Linked DNA regions of Oryza sativa Japonica Group. The protein of the gene in region 1 interacts with the protein of each later gene in a pairwise test. Links are inferred from orthologs where the notes say so. Each region holds a gene or a part of one and is shown in the gene's direction. Other genes may lie near its edges.

What was found.
Region 2: the proteins of protein PEP-RELATED DEVELOPMENT ARRESTED 1 homolog, chloroplastic (region 1) and protein rough sheath 2 homolog interact in binary tests that used the Arabidopsis thaliana proteins (3 or more experiments, as listed by UniProt). The link is inferred for Oryza sativa Japonica Group from reciprocal best matches to the Arabidopsis thaliana genes AT5G48470 and AS1.

The regions. Positions count from the first base shown.
Region 1 is NC_089045.1:15,317,706-15,321,868, reverse strand, and holds the start of protein PEP-RELATED DEVELOPMENT ARRESTED 1 homolog, chloroplastic, read left to right. Parts: upstream 1-1,360; 5' UTR 1,361-1,571; coding exon 1,572-1,847; intron 1,848-4,163. UniProt on the Arabidopsis thaliana protein: Plays an essential role in early steps of chloroplast development. May be involved in the redox control of plastid gene expression by maintening the redox state around chloroplast nucleoids.
Region 2 is NC_089046.1:24,247,894-24,252,148, reverse strand, and holds the start of protein rough sheath 2 homolog, read left to right. Parts: upstream 1-1,449; 5' UTR 1,450-1,799; intron 1,800-4,255.

The DNA.
Region 1 (4,163 bases):
CCACGTCTCCTCTGGTTATCATCTGTGCCGAAACCCGGTTGACCTCGCCGAGAAGGCTAATCCCTGCATGCGAATCGAAAAACACAAGCAAGAACAAGATAGATTGCAACCAAATTGCATATGAATGATTAAGCACTCGGATTTGGGGTTTCACAAACCGATCTAGCGGCGAAACTGTTCTTGACAGAATAATCTAAGCAAAACCCGACTCTAAACGATGAAGGCTATTGAATAAATATGATTAAGGACGTCCTAGGGTTGCCCTAGGGCGCACACCCCCTTAGGCTAAGCCCACAACACTATTACAAGGCCCAAAACACAAATCAGATTCGGACTGGATGAGATATGTGGCTTGTTTTGCAGTTTCCCAGCAACTTGGTAGGAATTTTGACGTGGGACCAAATCCATCTGAAGTAGACTCCATATGCTTTCCAACAAGTATTCATGGGCCCCAAAATTCCTTCTAGAACAGTGCGGCTAGATCCGTTTGAAGTTGATGCTGTCAGGAGGCCCGAATCCAAATCCAAAACATGTAGAACTTTATCTCTTGTCTTCTGTGGACCAAAAGTGACGTGGTGAGATGAAAGAAGACTTGGAGAAGGTCTTGGTTTGGTCCCCAATCAACTTCTTCAATTATCCATGCATTCCTTACGCTCGGTCTCTTTTCTTTCGCCCAAACAAGTACCTCTGTAAACAAAAACATACGAAACTCATTATGTAGTAATGTTTGTTCAAATATATAACAAGTAAATCTAACGTAGAACATATGCACCTTTGGTTGATTAATACATAAGGTAGTCTTGGTTATATCCGAGCTAGTTGTGTCCTCATCAACATGTGAGTGCACCTGCTCTCGTCAGCAAAAACCGTTTCCCGAACCACGGAAGGAGTCTTTTCGCATCGGTTTTTAAAGATGGATAAGGTGCTATAAGAGCAGGTACAATAGTAGGCTATAAGCCAGCTATAAACATATTTTAAAGAGATAAAGCAAGAGAGAGAAGAGCAGCGGGCTACAGATCTGTAGCCAGCTGCAGCACGGACTCCAAGACGTAATGTATGTATGATAGGTGGGACCAGTTATTAATAGTATAGTAAACAACTATTGTATAAATTGGTTATAGGTGATTCGAAGCTAGTAGTTGGCTATATAGATTTAAAGCTAGTAGTTGGCTATACTATTAAACTTGCTCAAACCGGTTTTACAGTCGAGGGAGGCGATTCAATCAGGAACAAGACACGAGAGAGGCGAAATGGACTTATTCCCTGTACTGACCATCCCGTTCCGCATTCCCACGGCCCAGCCCACACATGGGAGTCGAATAGGAAAAAGAGAAAAAAAACCACAGCCGCTATGGCCCTCTCAAATCTCTCAATCTCCTCTTATCTTGGGCAGTAGTGGCGCTACCTCTTTCTTCTCTCTATCTCTCAACGAGCGCGGCGCGAGCAAGAGGAGCGCGCACCCCGGCGACATCAGAGCTCGTCGACGCCGGGGACTCTGCGCGGCGGCTAGGGAGTTCGCCCGCCGGAGCAAGGGCTGGGCGGGACAAAGAGAAGAAATCTGCAGCGAACCCATGGCGATTCTGCCCCTCTCGATTTCCCACTCTCTTACCTCCGCCTTGTCCGCCACCTCCTCCGGCATCGGCAGGCCAGTTGCCCGCCTCCTCCACCCGCGGGTCCCCTCCCGTCCCACCGTCATCTGCCTCGCCGCGCCGCCCAAGGTACCCGTCCCCATCGCCTCACCGGCTTCACTAGGGGACGACCCTTCCAAATGGGACCCGGCCGAGTGCGACGCCCTTCTCCGCGGCGGCGAGCAGGTCGCCTCCGTGCTCCAGGAGATGCTCAAGCTGGTACGGGTTTTTTTTTCTTTTACTGTTATTTATTTGGTAGATGGTCCTCTACTATTTGAGAGAAATTGGACATTCTGCCGTTGCCAAAACAGGGTTTGGCTCAAATGTCACTCCCTGGATTGGATTAGTTAAAAAGCCACTTCCAACCGGCCGATGTCAAACCGCTGTTTTGCCATATTTGCCATTTCACAGGAATTCCACCATTTTTCGCACTTGGCCTGACCAAAATACCCTTCGGGCTGCGGTTTGATGTCGGTCACACATACATGGACATCGTATGTTGTACTACTTAAAGTCAAACTACTTTAAGTTTAACTAAGTTTATAGATAAATATAGTAATATTTATAATACCAAATTAGTTTTAGTAAATCAATAATTGAATATATTTTCATAATAAATTTGTCTTGGGTTGAAAATGTTATTATTTTTTCAACAAACTTAGTCAAACTTAAAGCAGTTTGACTTTGACCAAAGTCAAAACGTCTTATAACCTGAAACGGAGGGAGTATTATTCATGAACTTTGCAATTCTTTTTTCCACAATGATTCCCTCAAGAAAAGCTAGCAATATGACGGATCAGCAGGACAATCATATGCAGCATATCAAATCAACCAAAGCAAGCAAGAAAAGCATCAACGCATTTGGGCAGCTTTACCTGGTGAAACCCAGATTGATGAGGAACCCGCACCGCGTGACCGACTTCAGCAACAAGTCCTAATAGAATCAGGCCGAGGCAACATCCTCTCCACCCAGAGGTGATCGACGCTAGGAACCACCGCCACGTCTGTGGCCGTAGCCATACCCATATGAGGCCGATGAGGAGGAGGAGGAGGAGGAGGTGGTGGCATGGCTGTAGGAGGAAGAGGAGGACGAGCGAAGGCGGAGGTCATAATCAGCGTGGAGGTGGTCGTCGGAGTGGACCCTGTAGGCCTGTACGCGTCGGAGGCGAGGCGAAAGTGGCGCGCATGGCTGCGTCGGGGGAGTGGGCGTGGCGGTCCGGCTGGTCATGGAGTGCACCGCGGCAGAAGGTGGCCTTCACCTCGGCCGTGGTGGCGTCCCGCCGCAGCCCCAACGTTTGGTAGTGGTCGCTGCCCATTGCTGGCGCCTATCACCGAAGGGGTATTTTGGTCAGACCAATGGCTGAAAATGGTGGAAATCCTATGAAATGGCGAATATGGCAAAGCGGCGGTCATGGTTTTAAAAGCGTCGCTTAAGCGTTGCCTAGGCGTCTGAGCGCCATCAGGGAGCAGAGCGTCCCCACTGCCTACCCTTCTACACGTCTTGGATCCTAATATCTCGTGAAATCAGGTAGACACGGGCAAGGTGGGGGTCAAGGGCGCATGCGCTGTAGGGAATTACACATGCTGGGAAGGAAATCGCGTGAAGATATGATGGAAATCGCGTGTGCAGCAATTTAGGGAGGGAAGAGTGAAAGATGGAAAGAGAATAGAGAATAGGGGTGCGCCAATTTAGGGAGAGGGAAGGGTGAAAGATGGAAAGCGAATAGATAATAGGGTGGGCAGAGATTGGAAAGAGAAGATGGTTGTCTCCCTCTTGCTGCTCCCTTCTTCTCCAATGGATCTGTCTCCCTGCTCTTCCTCGCCCCTTCATGTTCTTCCTCTCTTTTTTGCCTCATATATCTCTAGTATGCCTCTTGTGCTTGTGTTTAAGGCGTCGCCTTACCCTTGCCTTAAACTCTTAAGGCGTTGCCTAGGCAATTGAGTAGGGGTGGGTCGCCTTGCCTCACCTTGTCGCCTTAAGTACACTGGTGGCGGTTTAGCATCGGTTGGAAGTGGCTTTTTAACGAATCCAATCCGTAGAGTGGCATTTGAGTGAAATCCTCTTTTAGCAGTGGCAGAATGTCCAATTTCTCACTATTTGAATTGTGGGTAGTAACTGTCTCGGTTGACAAAATTCTGGGATATTTTAGCTCTGGGTGGTTAATAGATTGGGTGTTTTATTTTCAGTTCTTTGGTGATTAAATACTTTATTGTTTTATTATCCTCTGGTGGGTAGTATATTAGAGCATTTCACGACGAATTGGCCAATAGTTCCCTCGGGAAAAAAAATAATTGGCCATTTGGAAAAAAATAATACATCCTTTGCTGCATCTTTTCACACTTTCTCAAGGTTAGAAGATTATGGATTTTTATTAAATTTTCGAACAACCAGGAATGAAGCAATCTTCAATGATGAATTAGAGAACCTCGGTATGCGATGTGGAATAGCAAGGTTCATGATGCAGCTGAATTATAAGGATTGCTACCTTTGAGGGTCTTAAAGTTGTAAACATTGTATTGTATATTCTTGATATG
Region 2 (4,255 bases), on another chromosome or scaffold:
CTATAAATTTATTTTTATTTACTATTAAGCCGTTTTGATATATTAGAGGATATGAGCAAACGATGAGACTCTTTCTTTATTTCTCTCTCAAAAGAAAAAGGCTTATTTATTATTCCCCTCACTTTTAAAACGTAAAGATTTTTAGGATTCAAATTTTATATTAAATGTAAGCATTCCAAAACTGATTCTCATGATTACAATCATTTTAATGATTCCAAAGCCAATCAGATGATTGAAAGTGAAATTCAAACAATTCAAAATTTAAAAATTGATAACCGAAGTGATTAAAAGGGAATATTTGGACCTAAATTTAGTATTTGCTAAACAACCTATAAATCGTTGTATTTTAGAATGGAGGGAGGAGTTTTCATGTGAAATGTAGTATTATTTTAATACAATCAATTAAGTCTCAGTCTTCATTGACTACTATGAATGAATCAGACAAAAATAATTTATGTTCAAACTTCTATATTAGTGTTATTAGCGATTTTGAAAGACGATACTAGAAAATAGATTAAGAAGAAAAAAAATCTTAAAATCAACTTAAAATATAACCTTTTAAATTCAAATTTTGGCTAAGCTCAGTAAGTTAACATGTAGACGATGAGAGGATATAAAATTTTACATGGTTTTACTACTAAGCCGTTGGATTGCGATCGGACGACGACTCTCATGCATCTGGCTTGTTGAGCAGTGGAGAATTGGAGATTTTTTTACAAACATTGTACTGTGATCTGGGCTGGGTGGCAGCCAGATTGGTGGGAGTAGATTCCATTTCACCATGCATCTTCTCAAGAAAATTCCTAGCACAGTTTTGTGCTACAGCAGCAGCAAAAAAAATAATGCAGATGATGGCTCATCCATGCACGGCCATTGTACCAGCACAGTGTAAAGAAATAAAAATTGGCAACAAGAGGCAACCATCTCATCTCATCTGGACTCACCTAGAGTATGGATCATCTCCCCTGTCCATGCATGCATGCATGCTGCAAGAAAATGCATATACAAACATTCAGAAAATTATATTTGATATTGATATTCATTTGCCTCCCATCTCCCTCTCCAACAGTGCCATCTCTGATCACACCCACACTGTGAAGTGAAGTCAGTCATCTCCAAGAGAAGCAAAAGCAAATGCAAAGCCTTCACCTCTCACCTCACATCCATTGCTGCATGGACCATGGCACCAATGCACCATGCACATCTCCAGCATCTCCATCTCCATGAGTCCATGTGCATTCAAGCTTAGCAGCAGCAGCAGCAGCAGCTGTATGTGTGGGTGTGGCCATGGTGCTTTCTTTGCATTGCATTGCATTGCAATGCATGCACTGTTTGCTGCAGCTGCTGCAGCTGCAGTGACTAGTCTAGCTCTCTCCATCTCTTTCTTTCTCTGCTTCTTTGTTTCTTTCTCTGTCTATAAATACAGAGGCCTCTCCTTTCCACCCAGCCCTTTTCCTCTCCTCCTCCCGTCTTTTCCACCACCACCACCCTCGCGTGCCCTAATTTCTCGCTGCTCCTTGTCCCCCACCTCCTTTACTTGAGCTTGCTCACCACTGCCTCCATATACAGAGAGTCTTCTCTGTATTTCTCTCTCTCAGTGGGAGGCTCACAAGAATCTTTCAGCTCACATCTCACTGTCCTTGCCTTTCTCTAGCTAGGTACTACTACTGCTAGTACTAACCACTGCTCGTGTTCTTGGGACTTCTTCTTCTTCTTGTTCTTGTTCTTAAAATCATTTGGGGTTTTGAGCTCCAGGGAGGTCCAAGAACAGAGCAGCAGGATGGTGCAGTGGCGTTTCTGTAAGTGAATCCTACTACCTTCAGTTTCTTGAGCAGTTTCAGTAGTGTAGAGCTTATGATGTAATGCAGCAGGTGCCATGTGTGTTGTGCTCTGAAGAAAGCTGTTCTGTGGGTTGCTTTGTTACTATGTTTTTTGTGTTCATGTTTCTTGGTCTGTATGGCTCTACATGTTGGGTGTTTTTGGTCAGATTTTGTCTCTCCTATATCTGCTAGTCTGTTTTTCTGCAATAGATCTTTCTGTTAGATTTCTTGTCTTGTAGGGAAGTTGGTAGAGGATGTGCTCTCAGGGTAAGGATTGATTGTCAGTTTGCTTAGTTCTTTCTTTTGATTCACCAGTTGGGATTTAGTTAGTATGGATAGATAATCTGCTAGGTTGGGGTTAAATGTTGCCTCTGATATGGTGAGTGAAACTACTTTTGTGGATTTTGTATGGATTGTGGTTAGTGGGTGAAATTTGTGTTCTTGATTGAAACATCTACCTAGTTCTTGAATCTTCAATGGCAGCATTATTGTACTGATTGTTGTATGGTCCAATAATGTATTTAGGGGGATTCTACTTACTGCTAGTCTGCTCCCAGATATGAAGATTTGATTCTGTTTTTTTTCCTCTTCAAATGTTTCTTTTTTATAATTAGTTGAAATATGCTATTATCCAGAGTACTTTTGGGGGTTTATGGATTGTTTCCTCCTACTCAAGAGAGGTAAACAAAGTAACTTCTTCAGTACAGATTTTCCAGAGATGCCATTTCTTCTTCATCATTCCTCCTTTGATTACTTCATGATTGTTTTTACCTGCTTCTCAGCCCATATCCCTTGGAACATTCACTTCCATGAAAATTACCACCTAAGGAAAAAAAAACAAAATGGTCAGTAATTGAGAACTTGCTATATTAGTTACCTGAAAGATAGTAACACCCAGCAACACAGATCCATGTTTCAGTATACTTGTGGTATAGGAGTAGTATAGTATAGTATACCCCCACACTGCTTTCAATTTGTCAGTACTACTACTGTGGTAGTAACATCTAGCCAAGGAGGATACAACGGTCCAATCCAATCAGATCAACAAACAACAACACATTGATTTCTTTGGCCTACTACCATGCTTTCAACATTCTTTCATTTTGTTTCTTCTTGGTTAATGCTTGAATTTCTAGATGAAATGGATGGCACAAGACCACTCTTGAGGAATCCTAAGTTTCCTATAAATCCCTTTTATAAATACTTTTTTTTAGAAACAACTGTTTTGTCTCAACTTAAAAAAAATAAAATCAAAAGCATATTGCTTGCAAGAATTCAGAAGATGTTCTAGGTGAAATTCTTGCAGATTTTATTGCATTTCTCTCTCATGAGTCCTTCATTACAATTAGGTGAAAACTAAAGAGGTGCCATATTAAATAGAGTGAATTTATTGCAAATTAAATTGGTTTTCGATTTGTCAAATTTGCTCGAGACACCTAACCAACTAACCCTTATTGTCCAAATCAAAATTCCATCTCGTGCGCAATTAGCCCTGGCCATAGCTTTAATTCGTCATTAGTAGGCAACCAGTGGGGGCTCCAAATGGTCCTAGAATCATCACTTTTACTTTGGATTTGCTTCTGCCTCTTGCACATTCCCTTATTTTGTAGCCTTCTTGAGGGTATTAGGTAGGTGTTTTGGCAGATTATCTCCCCATTGATCAGCTCCCAATTAATGCCAGATGGTGACACTGCTAAAGATGGAAGACAAGCTTGCGAGAAAACAGTGGTAGCCTTATTATTTCCTCTCACAAGAATTGTGCCCACAACTTGTCCTGACATCTGTGAATTTGTCTGTATGTTGATAGTAATAGCTGGATGAATCATGGGTGCTTAACAATGCTCTTACTTACCAATAGTGTTTATGGTCGGTTGGCCCTTGCAACCTCCAAAGAACCAATTGGAGCAATTCAGCCTTCTCTTTTTTTTTTCTCTCTCTGTCATTTTCTGTGCTTTAACTGTTATCTGAACGAGTAGTTAACTGTATAATGTCAAAGGAATAATCTTGCACAAATTTAGTACCAATGTTGTTGTAGAGGAGCATGTATAAGCTTTATCTGTGGTACTGTGGTAGTAAGTAGGATGTGTAGAGTGTGCAGGTCACAGTTATGGATCACTGAACAAATAAATTAACTCCCCTGCTTTTGACACCCCAAACTGAAACATATAAATGCTGCAATGAATAAAGCAACTAACTTTACACTATCACAGCCCTAGCTTCTGTTCTGGCCAGTTTCTTGCTCCCTCCAGACGGTAATCACTTTACTCTGTATCAACATTTGCATTTAAACTGGTTGTGGTTGACTGGTTGTTTGACTAGATTAGCACAACTAGAAACCATGCCAAGCCATTCCTGATCTGCAGTGTGTCGTTTCTTTCTTCTGAACTGAAGATTTGATCTTTTCTGTTTGCAAAGTTCATGCTTACACACTTACT